Linked DNA regions of Canis lupus familiaris. The protein of the gene in region 1 purifies or fractionates together with the protein of each later gene. This does not show direct contact. Links are inferred from orthologs where the notes say so. Each region holds a gene or a part of one and is shown on either strand. Other genes may lie near its edges.

Region 1 (6,022 bases):
GCCGACTCCCAGGTGGGGCTGGGGGTCGGGCTTGGGAGGGCCGAGGAGATCACCCCGGCCGGCTCAGCGCAGCACTCCCCAAAGTGGTTCGGGCAGCCCCCAGGCGGCCGGGAAGGTCTAACGGGGAGCTCTGAGAACCCCAGTAGAGGAGGACCCCCGGCCGACCCGAGGATGCAGCCAGCAGCACCAACTCCCACTCTCCACCAACCTCTAAACTTCGGGTCCTGGGGCGGTTCGGCCTTTCGCGGTTTTCGTTTTATTTCCCTTCCAACCCTCTGTGACTTTTCTGGTCACGGGGGAATTGTTTTGTATGGTCCTCTAAGACAATATCCCCCCCCAGAGACCCCTTTTCCGCTCCCAGACGAGGATGGGGCCAGAGAGAACAGGTCCCCCGGAGCCCCACGCTAACATCCCTGAGAAGGCCTAAGTTGCCCAAGCCGCTCTGGCCACTCTCCGGGACCGCAGGCTGCGGGATACAGTGTGCACCTGGCCCTCTGAAATAGCTCGGCAGACAAACCCTGCTGGTGTCCAGCGCCTCACCTCCCCCCACTCTCCATCCTTGGCGTGGGAAAACTTTTAGGGTGCCTCGACCGACCAGGAAACAGCGAAAAAGAGCCCAGCGGACTGGAGACGAGTCTCCGTGAGTGTGGAATTGGCATGAGCCTCCGCGATCCCCCAAAGCTTGGGAAGAACACGCAGGGCTAGAGCCAGAGGCCTCCAGGGAGTTGGGAGCAAGTCCAGAGACGTCTGGGCAACCGGGTTAAACTCGTTGTACACATCGTCAGCTGGCTAGGGCAAACACTCGGGGTGCAGTGCTTTCATTGGTTTGATTTCACTTTGCAGGGAAATCTAACTGGAGGTGGCCCTGAACCCAAAAGCCGTGCCTCGCGTGCATCTGCCCTCGAACTTGCTTGGCCCAGGGGCCCGCCCTGGACAACTCTACGAGGCCCGGATGGCTTCGACTCAGGCGGCCAGGGAAAGAGGCAGGCGCCTGGTGCGACCGGCTCTCCGGCTCTCTCGCGCCCTCTGGGCTTAATGGCGCCAGGACAGCTCCCGGGGGGTTGTCGAAGGTCCGGACAGGGTAGGATAGGGCAGGACAGGAGTAGGGATACTCCGGAAAGGACACGCAATGCAGCTGGCCGGCGTGCACTGCAAAACCGACAAACAGACGGTGCTAGCTAGGAGCAAGTCGCCTCCGGGTTTGCTATTTATGAAAAAATAAACTGCTTATCTGCAAGTAACCAACTCTAGGTCTATTTCACATCTCTGACCCTCTTCGTCTCACCCCTTCCCTACACACAGACACAGACACATACACACACACGCACAGACAACATTTTACCCGTCATAACAAGAAAAAGAGAGAGAGAAAATAAAAGGCTGAGTTTCTTAGGCATAGGGATGTAAAAGAGCCGAGGCTCCTGCCTCCTGACCCTGTGCCCGGCGCGCACGCACCCATAATCCTGCATTTCTCCAACAAGTTGTTTATGGAGTTGCTTCTCTATTTGCCTACACCCCCCCCCCCCCCAAATCCACCCCTCCCTGGTCTCCTTTGCCCCTTCCTCGGTCCTGGCTTGAAAGAGGGGGAGGGGCTCGGGCTCGGGTGGGGGAGGGCGGGCCGGACGCGCAGGGCTCAGGCCGCGGCGCCCCCTCTCCGCCAGCGGCCGCCGCCCCCGGATTATTTATCCGCAAAGTCCCGCGCGCGCCCATTGGGCCGAGGCCCGGGTGTCAGCGCGAGTCCTGGCTCGCCATTGGCCCCGCACACGTGCGGCCTGACTCACGTGCTTCCGGTTTGAAGGCAAAAAGTGTGCCTGGGTGATTTTTTTTTTAAGCGAGAGAGTTTGTGCAAAGATCCGAGCTGTCAGAGATTTGAAAAAAAAAAAAAAAAAAAAAAAAAAAGGCAGCCCCGGCGCTGGCGGAGACGCGCTCTCCCTGCAAAAAAAGCAAAGGCGATTAAAGGCGCTGCCAGCCTCGCGCTCTGGGCACAGCTGAGCGTGACACTCGGGGAAGTAAAACCCCTCACTACTGCCTAGGAAGATGGCTAGACTTTAAAGACTATTTTTTCCCTTTAAGAAAAAAATTTCTTGGAGCTTTTTTTTTTTCTTTTTTTCTTGCTTTCTTTTTTTCTTTTCTTTTTCTTTTTTTTTTTTCCTTCTTGGCCGTGGCTTACTCCCCATTTAAAACAAATCATTGAATCTGGTGGCAGAAAGGAAAAAAAAAAAAAGAAATAGCCAAGTGTCTCCATATCTGGATGTCTACAAATTAGAGAGAGGGAGAGACAGCGAGATCTATCTGCTCGATAAGAGCGAGCGATCCAGGCCAGGCGCCTGGGCTTTTTTTCCTGCACCCGCCCCGTGCCTTCGCTGGGGCTCCGCCGGCCTCCTTCCTCCGCGCACCCCCACGGGCCGCTGGCAAAGTGGGGTGGGGAGCGAGGCGGGGGGGGCGGGGGCCGGCGCGGCTGCCGGGGCGGCGGGGCGGCCGAGCATGGAAGAACAGCAGCCGGAACCTAAAAGTCAGCGCGACTCGGGCCTCGGCGCGGCGGCGGTGGCGGCGGCCCCGGGCAGCCTGAGCCTGAGCCTGAGCCCCGGCGCCGGCGGCAGCAGCGGCAGCGGCAGCGGCAGCGGCAGCGGCAGCGGCAGCGATGGAGACAGCGTGCCGGTGTCCCCGCAGCCCGCGCCCCCCTCGCCGCCCGCGGCGCCCTGCCTGCCGCCCCTGGCCCACCACCCGCACCTCCCCCCGCACCCCCCGCCCCCGCCGCCGCCGCCGCCGCCGCCGCAGCATCTCGCGGCGCCTGCTCACCAGCCGCAGCCCGCGGCCCAGCTGCACCGCACCACCAACTTTTTCATCGACAACATCCTGAGGCCGGACTTCGGCTGCAAAAAGGAGCCGCCGCCGCCGCAGCTCTTGGTGGCGGCGGCGGCCGGAGGAGGCGCCGGAGGAGGCCGGGTCGAGCGTGACCGGGGCCAGACCGGCGCAGGTAGAGACCCTGTCCACCCGCTGGGCACGCGGGCGCCGGGCGCCGCCTCGCTCCTGTGCGCCCCGGACGTGAACTGTGGCCCACCCGACGGCTCTCCGCCAGCCGCGGGCGGCGGCGCGGGTGCGTCCAAAGGCGGGAGCCCGGCTGCGGCGGCGGCGGCGGCGGCGGCCGTGGCGGCGGCGGCGGCGGCGGCGGCGGCAGCCAAGCCTTCGGACAGCGGCAGCGGCAGCGGAGGCGGCGTGGGGAGCCCCGGCGCGCAGGGTGCCAAGTACCCGGAGCACGGCAACCCGGCCATCCTGCTTATGGGCTCCGCCAACGGCGGGCCCGTGGTCAAAACTGACTCGCAGCAGCCCCTCGTGTGGCCCGCCTGGGTGTACTGCACGCGCTACTCGGATCGCCCGTCCTCCGGTGAGTACCCAGCCCGCGGCCGCGCCATGTCTTTCCGCCCCGCGGACGCCCCAGGGCGCCCCGCCGCCGCCGGGCCGGGGAGAACAGACCCGGCCTCGGGTGCTCTCTTCTCTCGCGGCCGCCGCCGCCTCCTCCTCCTCCTCCTCCTCCTCCTCGCCCCCGTCCCGGTCGCAGTCGGGTGTGCCCCCAGTTCTGCGCTCCTGGCCTCTGTGGCCGCCACTCGAGAGGCTGCAGCTCCTGGCACGGGAAGCTCGAGTCCGGCTCGATCCTTCGGCTTGGAACTCCGAGCCCCTCGGGCCTTCTTTGTGTTTTTACCTTTATTATCCTTAAGAAAAACACAAACAAACCCACAACCAGTCATTGATTTTTCTTCCAGGGAGAGGGGTGTTGAGAGCCGGCGGGAAGGTGGGCCTAGTGATCGGGCTCTGAAATCCCGCCAGCCAGGTCCTGCGGAGGCCGCAATGGAGCAAGGCTCTCATCAGAGAAATAATCCTCACCTTGTGTTCATACAAACACAAATACCATGTCGATATTTTCTGAGGAAAGTTCATTTACAGAGAGCTAGATTGGAGAACACACAGAAAGAGAGAGAAAAGCCTTTGATCGCTGTCCCTCCTCCCCAGGCCGGGTAAGCCAGAGAGTCTGACCCGGGTGGGTAGAACCCAGGGAAAGATGGTGCCGGGAGCCCCCCGCTCCTGGTTCTCTGCTGCTCGCAGACAGTGGGAGAGGAGAGGAGACGGGTCAGGCTCCCGCCGGGTCGCGGGGGCTCGGGGCATGATTGGCAGCCTCCTCGGCAGCTTCTTCCTGCCACTCGCACATCCTCCGGGCCCTGCCCCTTACTTCTTTCACTCTTTTCTTCCTCGGCTCTGCCAGTTAGCAGATTTCTCCAGCTATAGGTTGTTTTTCTCGACTGCCTTAGGCCCCTTTTGAGCCTGTCCCTCGAACTTGGAGACCCCGAGGCCGAGGCGTGCGCTGGGGCAGCCCTAGGCCCCCGGAGAGGAGGCTGGGGCCTGCCCACCTTCCGGGGCGGCAGCACGGGGGAGGCCGGTGGGCTCATCGAGGAGGACGGCAGGGGTCTGGCCTACAGCTGGCGTTGCGGGCACCGGGTCCGGTAGGAGGCCGGGCACAGCGTAGCCCCGCGCCGCTCTGCTCCGGCTGGTGTCTAGCCTCCCCACGGCTGCCGGCCGGGCGCGGATCGATGCGCGCTATCAGCCCCCGCCATCTCGAGCCCCGTTATTGACACGTCGGGCTCCCTGAACCTCCGAAAAGCTGCTTTGATTGACTCGCCTGATGGATAGAGTGATTGAGCTGTCAGGCTGTGAGGCTCAGGCCGGCCGGGAGGCTACGATTTTATTACAAGTGTCCGCGCCTCTGCACACACATACACAACACTCTCACAAACGTCGGGGACGCACAACGCACAGCGGGGCCTTTCTGGAGATGTACACATCCTTGCCCGCTCAGCTAATTGCTAATCTAAACCGAGGCCGCCCTTCCTCCCCACCCCACCTCTCAGTCCTCTCTGCACCCAGCTTAGGAGCCGGCCTTGCCTTTGTTCTTGGCTGCTTTCTCTCTTCGGTGCCTGGGGAGGCAGGGTACTGGCTCCTCCTGCATGGGCAGTTCACGGAGATGAACCTCAACCCAGACCTGAGTCGCTGCAGTCAGCCAGGCCTGGACTCTTTTGTCACAGGACAGCTAGTAACCCCAGGCTCTGGTCGGCCCCTGGAGCCAGCAGCCCAGCTTGCCCTTCTGTTGCTAGGTTTGGAGATGCTGGTGAAGACCCTTCTTTCCAGACAGTTTCAGATATTAAAAGGCACGACAGGGACTTAACTTGGCTCAGGAAGCTCCCATAACCAGGGCAGGGCCCGCCAAGTAAATGCCTAAATGCTGGAGGACTTGGGTCTGAGGCTGATGGACAGAGGTTCTGGCTTTCAAAGCTGCCTCCTCTTTCCCCCTCCTCTCTCCAGATCTGGACTCCATAGCAGCTTTCTTCTCAGACTAGGTTTTGGGAGAGACTTCACCTTCTTGGGGAGGTTTGCTGGGGCCTCTTCCCATATCCATCTGTGATGCAAAGCACAGATTTCTGTCCCTGTTGTCCCTCTGTCTCTTGACCTCTGCCCATAGTTTGCTCCTGAATGGGGGGTGGGGAGGAGGGATGTAGCCTCCTTGCAAATGTCATAGATGGGCAGGGGAAGCGGATCTGGCCTGTTTTTGTTATACAGGACTTTTCAATCCTGAAAACTGTAGTTTACGTGTTCAAAAGACAGAGAGAAGAGAGACCGTGCCTGCGCAGCCGGGTAGAGGAATGGGGACAGTGGGCTCTTTCTTACTGGCACCATCCAAGGGGCAAAGCAAGCAGAGAACCCTTGGGGCCAGCCAGGGTCATGTGGGTAAGATGTGTAACTGGGTGAAAGCCTTTCCCCCTCCCTTCAGAGAAAGGGGTGCTTAGTGTCTCCCTGGGACCCTAGAAAGGGCTTCCTTTAGGCCAAAGAGAAAGGAGAGGCACAGAGAACATACGGCCGAAGATCTAGGCAAGCCCCTCACCGTCCCCTTGTTTTCTGGGGTCAATAGCTATAAGCAGATGGGGTCTTATTTTAAGTTCTGGGTGGAGGTGCACATCTTGAGAAGGCAGCTGGA
Region 2 (6,129 bases), on another chromosome or scaffold:
CCTTCCCGCCAAACGAAGGCAGGCCGACCTTTCTGCAAAGTCGTCTGAAATGCTTCAATAAAAGCCAACCGCTCCCACGTTGGGTGCAAAGGGGGGTGGGGGGTGGCCTGAGTATTAAAAGCCTAGTCTTAGCCGGCCGGGGCCGTGCGCCAGCCCACGCGCTGCCGCGGTTTCCACCGGGTGCACAGTCCACTACTCCTTCTCACGGACAGGCAGCTCACGGAAAAACAATCCTCAGAGAGATTTCTGAATGTGACCTCACTTTCAAAAGAGGAGCATCACACAAGGGCAAGCACGGAAAGACTCGTTTGGCTCGAACTACCCACCTCCCCAACCCTCCCCCGCCCCCCCTAAGAAACTGCGCGGTTAGACTCCGAGTCACTTTCACTGGGATCTGAGGATTTCCATTAAAGGGAAAAGTGAACAAGTGGCAGGATTTTTGCAAACTCGAGCCCCCGGCTTCCGCGGCGGCACGCTCGCCGGTCCCTCCCGCTCGCGCGCGCCCGCGCCCGCGCCCGCGCGCCCCCGCCCGGCCCCACGTTACTTTGATTGACAGCCCGGCCCCGCCGCTCTCCTTCCCACCGACCTTCCCATCCACGGTGCCAATCTCGGCGTCTCGCCTCTTCCCATTGGCTGCTTTCGGCGTCCCGCGGCTCCTCCGGGAACAGTTCCTCACCGAGCCCGGGAGGACGCGGCTGGCTGGGGGGCGGGGGGGGGGGGGCGGAGCGGGGTGGGAGGGGACACCGGGGAGACGGCGGAGACGCGAGCGAGTCGGGTGGGAGCGGAGGGGGGGGGGGGCGGCCCGCGCAGCGCTGCGCTACCATAGGCTGCGGGGAGGCGTCGCGTCAGCGCCCCACGTTGGGCGCCCGCGCGCGATTGGCTGGCGCGCGCTGCCCCGCCCCCCGCGGCCTCCCGGACCCACGTCCCCCGCCGGCTCTGCGCTCCCGCCCCCGCCCGCGCGGGGCTGGGCGGGGCCGGCGCTGGTTAGCTCCGGAGTGTGAAACCGCGTGTTAATGTAACCGGCGCGAGAGGCGCGGGCGGCGGCGGCGGGAGCGGCGGCTGCAGGAGCAGCGGCAGCGGCGAGCACCCTGCGCCCCGCGTCCCCGGGGCGACCGCCGGCGCCACCCCCACCCGCTCACGGCCGGCCCGCGGCGACCAAACCCCCGCCGCGACTACTCCGGACCCGCCCGCGGAGTTTGCCCGCCGGGGAGGGAGGCCGCGCGGCGGAACGCGCTCCTGCTCTTTTCTCCACCGCCTCGCGGATGTCGCCCCCCGGGTCGTGAGAGAACTTTGCGGCGGGCTGGAGCGCCCTGTGCCAAGAGGCGGACGAAGGGAAGGAAAGAAAGAGGGCCCAGGCCGGGGCTCGGAGCGAGAGTCCGGAGCGCCCGGGCCGGCCGGGTGGGGCGAGCGCGCGCGGGGCGCGGCGCCCGGATGCGCCCGGGGCTCGAGGAGCAGCGGGCGGCTGCCGCTCTGCCCGCCGCGGAGTAGCCCCGCCGGGCCCGGAGGGTTCGTGCGACCGCGGAGTCCGCCGAGTGCCGCTGGCTCGGGGCGTGCCGAGCCGCCTCCCGGCGCGCCCTCCGCACTTTCCCCGCCTCGGCGTCCTCCCGCGCTCCTGCTCCTCCGCCGGGGCTGAGGCCGCGGGGCGCCAGGCGCGGACCCTCCGCCGCCCGCCGCCCGCCGCCCGCCGCGGCCCGGGCCGTGCGCCTCGCCGCCTCCCGCAGCCCACGAGCGCCCGGTGACCCGAACGTCGCCAGGTTTGTGGGTGTGGGGTTAGCCGGGGGCGCCGGGCCACCTGCGCCTCGCCCGCGGCCGTGGCCGCGGGGAAAACCCGGAGAGGAGGCGGAGCGGGAGAAGAGCGAAGGAAGGCAGCCCGCCTGGATCTGTTTGCCCGGGACGGGTGCCGCGCACCGGGATCGCCGAGGGGAGCGCGGCCGGAGTCGCCGCCCCCCGCGTCCCCGCCGAGGCAGCGGAGGCCCACGGGCCGGATCGCAGCCCCCGCGCCCTCTTCTCGGGCGCCGGCGTCACCGGCCCGGGTGCCCCGCGATGTGGCCCTGAGCGAGGGAGCCCGCAGCGGCGGGAGCAGGAGCGGCCGGGGCGCCCCGCCGAGCGCGCCTGCGTGCGTGGCCCGCGCGCTCCCCGCGCCCCGGGTTTCGCCCGGCTTCTCGGCTTAATTTTCCTCGGCGGGATTAAAGTTGGAAATTGAGCGGAGAATTGAGTTGCCCGGAAACAGAGCTGCGGCCGCCGCCAGAGCGATGTTCCCGCAGAGCCGGCACCCGGTGAGGCGCGGCGGGGTACGGGGGGGGGGGGGGGGGGGGGCGCGGGGGGGGGGCGGGGCGGGGAGGGGATAGACGCTCGCCCCGCGCGGCAGGGGACGGGTCTCTGTTAAATTCGGGAGGACCACCCTCCCCCCCGCCCCGCGCAAGCCTCTGGGGGTGCAAGGCTGGGGGGGTCTCGGAGCCTCCCTCCTGCGCTGGGGAGGGAGCTGAAACTCCATTTTCTCCTCTGCTCTTGCCCCCCCCCCCCCCGAGTTGATGTCTAGACGGGGCGGGCGGGGGCTCCCGGGGGCGCTGGGGTTCTTTCCCGGAGCGATTTCTCCGTCCACCCCACCCCCTTGCCGAGACGGGTAGGACGCCCCCCCCTTTGTTTCTCGTCTCGCCTATTTACATGTCAATGCGGCCCCCGCTCCGGCGCGCCCGGAGGTGGCCCCGCGTCTCTGGGAACGCGGAGCGTTAGGCTGTTGTTTTTCTTCTCTGGTCCCCGGGGTCATTATCGCCCCCGTGGGGAGGGGGCGGGGGCAACGACGACGATTTGGCCTGGTTTTCCCCGGCCGCCGGGAGCCCCGTCCCTACAGCCTGTGACCCGGGCGCACGCACCGAGCACCGAGGAGGCTCCAGGCCGGGCGAGGGTCCGCTTTCTCCTTCCATCAAGCGCAGAGCAAACTCGAGTTCAGGGCTCGGTTTTCCGCCACTTCTAACTTTATTTTTTGTTTACGTCCCGCCCACTTGTGCTTCCTCTGCCTTCATTGTTTGTCTGTCTCCCCGCATCCCTGTGCCTCGATTCCCCTCGGCGGCCGCCCCCAGACGCCGCACCAGGCTGCAGGCCAGCCCTTCAAGTTCACTATCCCGGAGTCCCTGGACCGGATTAAAGAGGAATTCCAGTTCCTGCAGGCGCAGTACCACAGGTGCGTGTCCGGCCAGGACAGGCGGGCGGGCGAGCGGTAGCCCCGGGGGCAGCCCCGGCACCTCCTCGCCCAGCCGGGGGCGGCGGCGGCTGTACTTAGTCCTCGCGTCCAGGCGGTGGCGTGTGGAGTCGCAGTTAAGACCTGTCATTCATGTTACCCTGTTTCCAGGTTATTCCTGGGCCGTCTCTCCTCTAATCTCCTCCTACTACCATTGTTTCCCTTTTGCCGGTTTGCTGCTGTTACAGGGAGCCTTTTTTTTTTTTTTTTTTTGAGTATTTAGGAGTTGCATGAGAACCGTCAATATTTGCACTTCGTTTATTTATTTTGCAACAGGCTGAGCTGAAACCTTGGTTCAATCGATGCTCCAACCCTGGAGTGCAGGTTTAGGGAGGCAGAGCCAGTGTTGAAATCGCTCTTTGCCATACCAGGGGATTGTGTTGTCTGAGACAAAGTCCATCATGGGAGACCAGGTGCTGTTAGCTGTGCCCATCACTGGTGATGGGGGGGGGAGGGGGGGCGTTAGGTGCAGGAGGAAGCTCCCCTGCCTGGCGTCGTCATTTTGGAGTGGTTTGGGAAGGACAGGGGACCGCAGTCTCATTTATATAAATCCTGGCTTAGTCTCTTCACCTAACTGAGACCTACTTCAAAAGGTTTATAAGTGAAAAGTGATTGTAAAGCGCCCTGTCCATAGTGGATTTTCCAGAACTGTTAGTTTCTTTCCCATGTTCCAGTGAAGTCTTAGCTGATTAGAGCTAAGAAATAACTCTGTAATGACAGCCCTTATTTTGGTCATGCTTGAGAAAAAGTGCACAGATGCTTGGGTGTGAATTTTCTTATTTTGTCAGAGGCTTTTCTGATTGTTGACCTTTTGTCTGCTTGAAGATAATAATCTCTGGAACTTGAGGCATACCTGCTCACACTGTGTTTACCAAGCCGGGAGTAGCTACTTAACATATTTTGGCAGGGATTTAAAAACAAGATTTCAAAAGGGACCAACAATTGTAGAAGTAACTCTAGAGTATAGTTTTTAAATTTGGAGACTGTTTGAGTTGGCATAGATGGGACAGCCTGTGTCTGATGCTGAAAATTGTGCAAAGGCCAGATTTTGGTGGAATCCAGAGGAGCAAACTGGTCCAGGGAAGTAGGAGTGAACAGATGAACAGGAGGAGGATTTGGTCTTCTGAGTAGATCAGGGCTTTTGACAGATTTTTCATTCTTGGCATCTGACCAGGTATGCATCAAGAAGAAAAATAATAGTAGCTGAGTGGAGACGCTGTACTGTTCACCTTATTCCCTTTCCCTATTAAATGCAAGGACAAAGCTTTTGCATGTTTACCTAGATAGTTTATGGCTTTTCCAAATTGGTCTGTGTTTTTACTTGAAGTGCAAATATGTGAGGCAGATGTTAAAACAAGTGACATAATGTTTACATTAAGTTGCCTGTTTTGTTTTTGTAGCCTTAAATTGGAATGTGAGAAACTGGCAAGTGAAAAGACAGAAATGCAGAGGCACTATGTGATGGTAGGTATCAGAGATTAGACTTCTTTCTTTTGCATGTAAGATTAGCAAATACGTGTTCCTAGCATTGCAAAACATGAATTAATGAAATGCTTGATTTTTTTTTTCTTTTTGCAGTATTATGAAATGTCATATGGATTAAACATAGAAATGCATAAACAGGTAAGCTCTATTGAAATCTCGAGTTGAAATGAGAAATCAGTCATTATGATTCTATAAAACTGGCTGTGTCCTCAGTGGTCGGAGGGGGGGGGGGGGGGGGGAATTTGTATGCCCTTAGTTTCTTTCCCTTCCTGTGAATTGGTGGTAGTGTTTTGCAGCAAGAGTTGCTTCTTGACAATTACAGAATCTGTAAGTGACTAGGTGAGAGGTGCTTTGGAAATGTGACCCAACCTGTCTATAGGCTGATAGAAATTGAGTCTCTGAGTTGGCTTTTCTACCTGGATAGATTTATTCTCTGCTTGAAAGATCTGGATATCCCATAGAGTTCTGAAATTCAGAGTAACTTAACGTTTTTTTGCCGGTTGGAACAGCAGTGTGGTCCTGCGGGTGGAGGGGAAAGAAGGATATTCAGGAGTTTCTTAAGCAGGTTAAACATTGTATATGACTAACTGTGGGGTTCTCGTCTTGCTTCGGGGTTGCATAAAGTGACATTCAAGATTAGTGGCTTATTAGCAAACATCTTTTTGAAAACTTTCTCAATTGATGCAGATTTGGAGGTGAAAAAGCATTCTTTTATGGCCACAGCATATGTTGGGAGTCGCTTCAGTCCTAGTGGTTTTAAAAGCATGAAAAGATTAGTGACTGGAAAGCTCTAGCTATGACTATGAGTTTGCAAGTTCCCATAAAATTCACACTTATGGCTACTATAATGGTGTATAAAAAGAGTATTGAGCTGGAACAAGGCACTAAGGACCTCATAAGAGAAGAAAAGCTAAATGATTGCTCAGCCCAAAGGACCCTCGATTGAGTAGTCATTGTCTGCCAAAGAAAGCATTAATGGCAGGGTGTAAGTATTCTGGAGATATGCTGACATTCACTTTTTCATCAAGACGCTGGTACAATAAGTCTTTTAGAAATCGATTGCCTCTTAAAAAATTATCATCAGATGAAGTTGCACAGTTGGACACATTTCAAAGTGCAACAATACAATTCTTACTTGATGTATATGTGCTATTTCATCTCAAACCCTTGTTTCATTAAATTAAAGAGCATGGCTGACCGGCTGGGGCACAGTGGAGAAATTGATTAGTTCAGCCTTCAGATCTTCCTTATATTCAAAGACTTTCATTAAGCAAGTGTGTTTCAGAGTTGAATTCTGCTTTTGTAACTCCACACTCTTTGATTTTTAATTCATCATAGATTTCATAATGTTAAGTCGTGTACATTAGATCTATTCTCAGATATGTGTTTGGAAAGGGATAGTTAGG

Evidence for each region.
Region 2: the proteins of EN1 (region 1) and TLE1 purify together in Homo sapiens (affinity purification with western blotting; 4 studies listed by BioGRID and IntAct, with this or other methods). This does not show direct contact. The link is inferred for Canis lupus familiaris from reciprocal best matches to the Homo sapiens genes EN1 and TLE1.

What each region holds. Positions count from the first base shown.
Region 1 is NC_049240.1:32,546,213-32,552,234, forward strand, and holds the start of EN1 (homeobox protein engrailed-1), read left to right. Parts: upstream 1-2,484; coding exon 2,485-3,385; intron 3,386-6,022. UniProt on the Homo sapiens protein: Required for proper formation of the apical ectodermal ridge and correct dorsal-ventral patterning in the limb.
Region 2 is NC_049222.1:78,172,175-78,178,303, forward strand, and holds the start of TLE1 (transducin-like enhancer protein 1), read left to right. Parts: upstream 1-2,024; 5' UTR 2,025-2,252; coding exon 2,253-2,276; intron 2,277-3,080; coding exon 3,081-3,181; intron 3,182-4,638; coding exon 4,639-4,702; intron 4,703-4,816; coding exon 4,817-4,861; intron 4,862-6,129. UniProt on the Homo sapiens protein: Transcriptional corepressor that binds to a number of transcription factors. Inhibits NF-kappa-B-regulated gene expression. Inhibits the transcriptional activation mediated by FOXA2, and by CTNNB1 and TCF family members in Wnt signaling.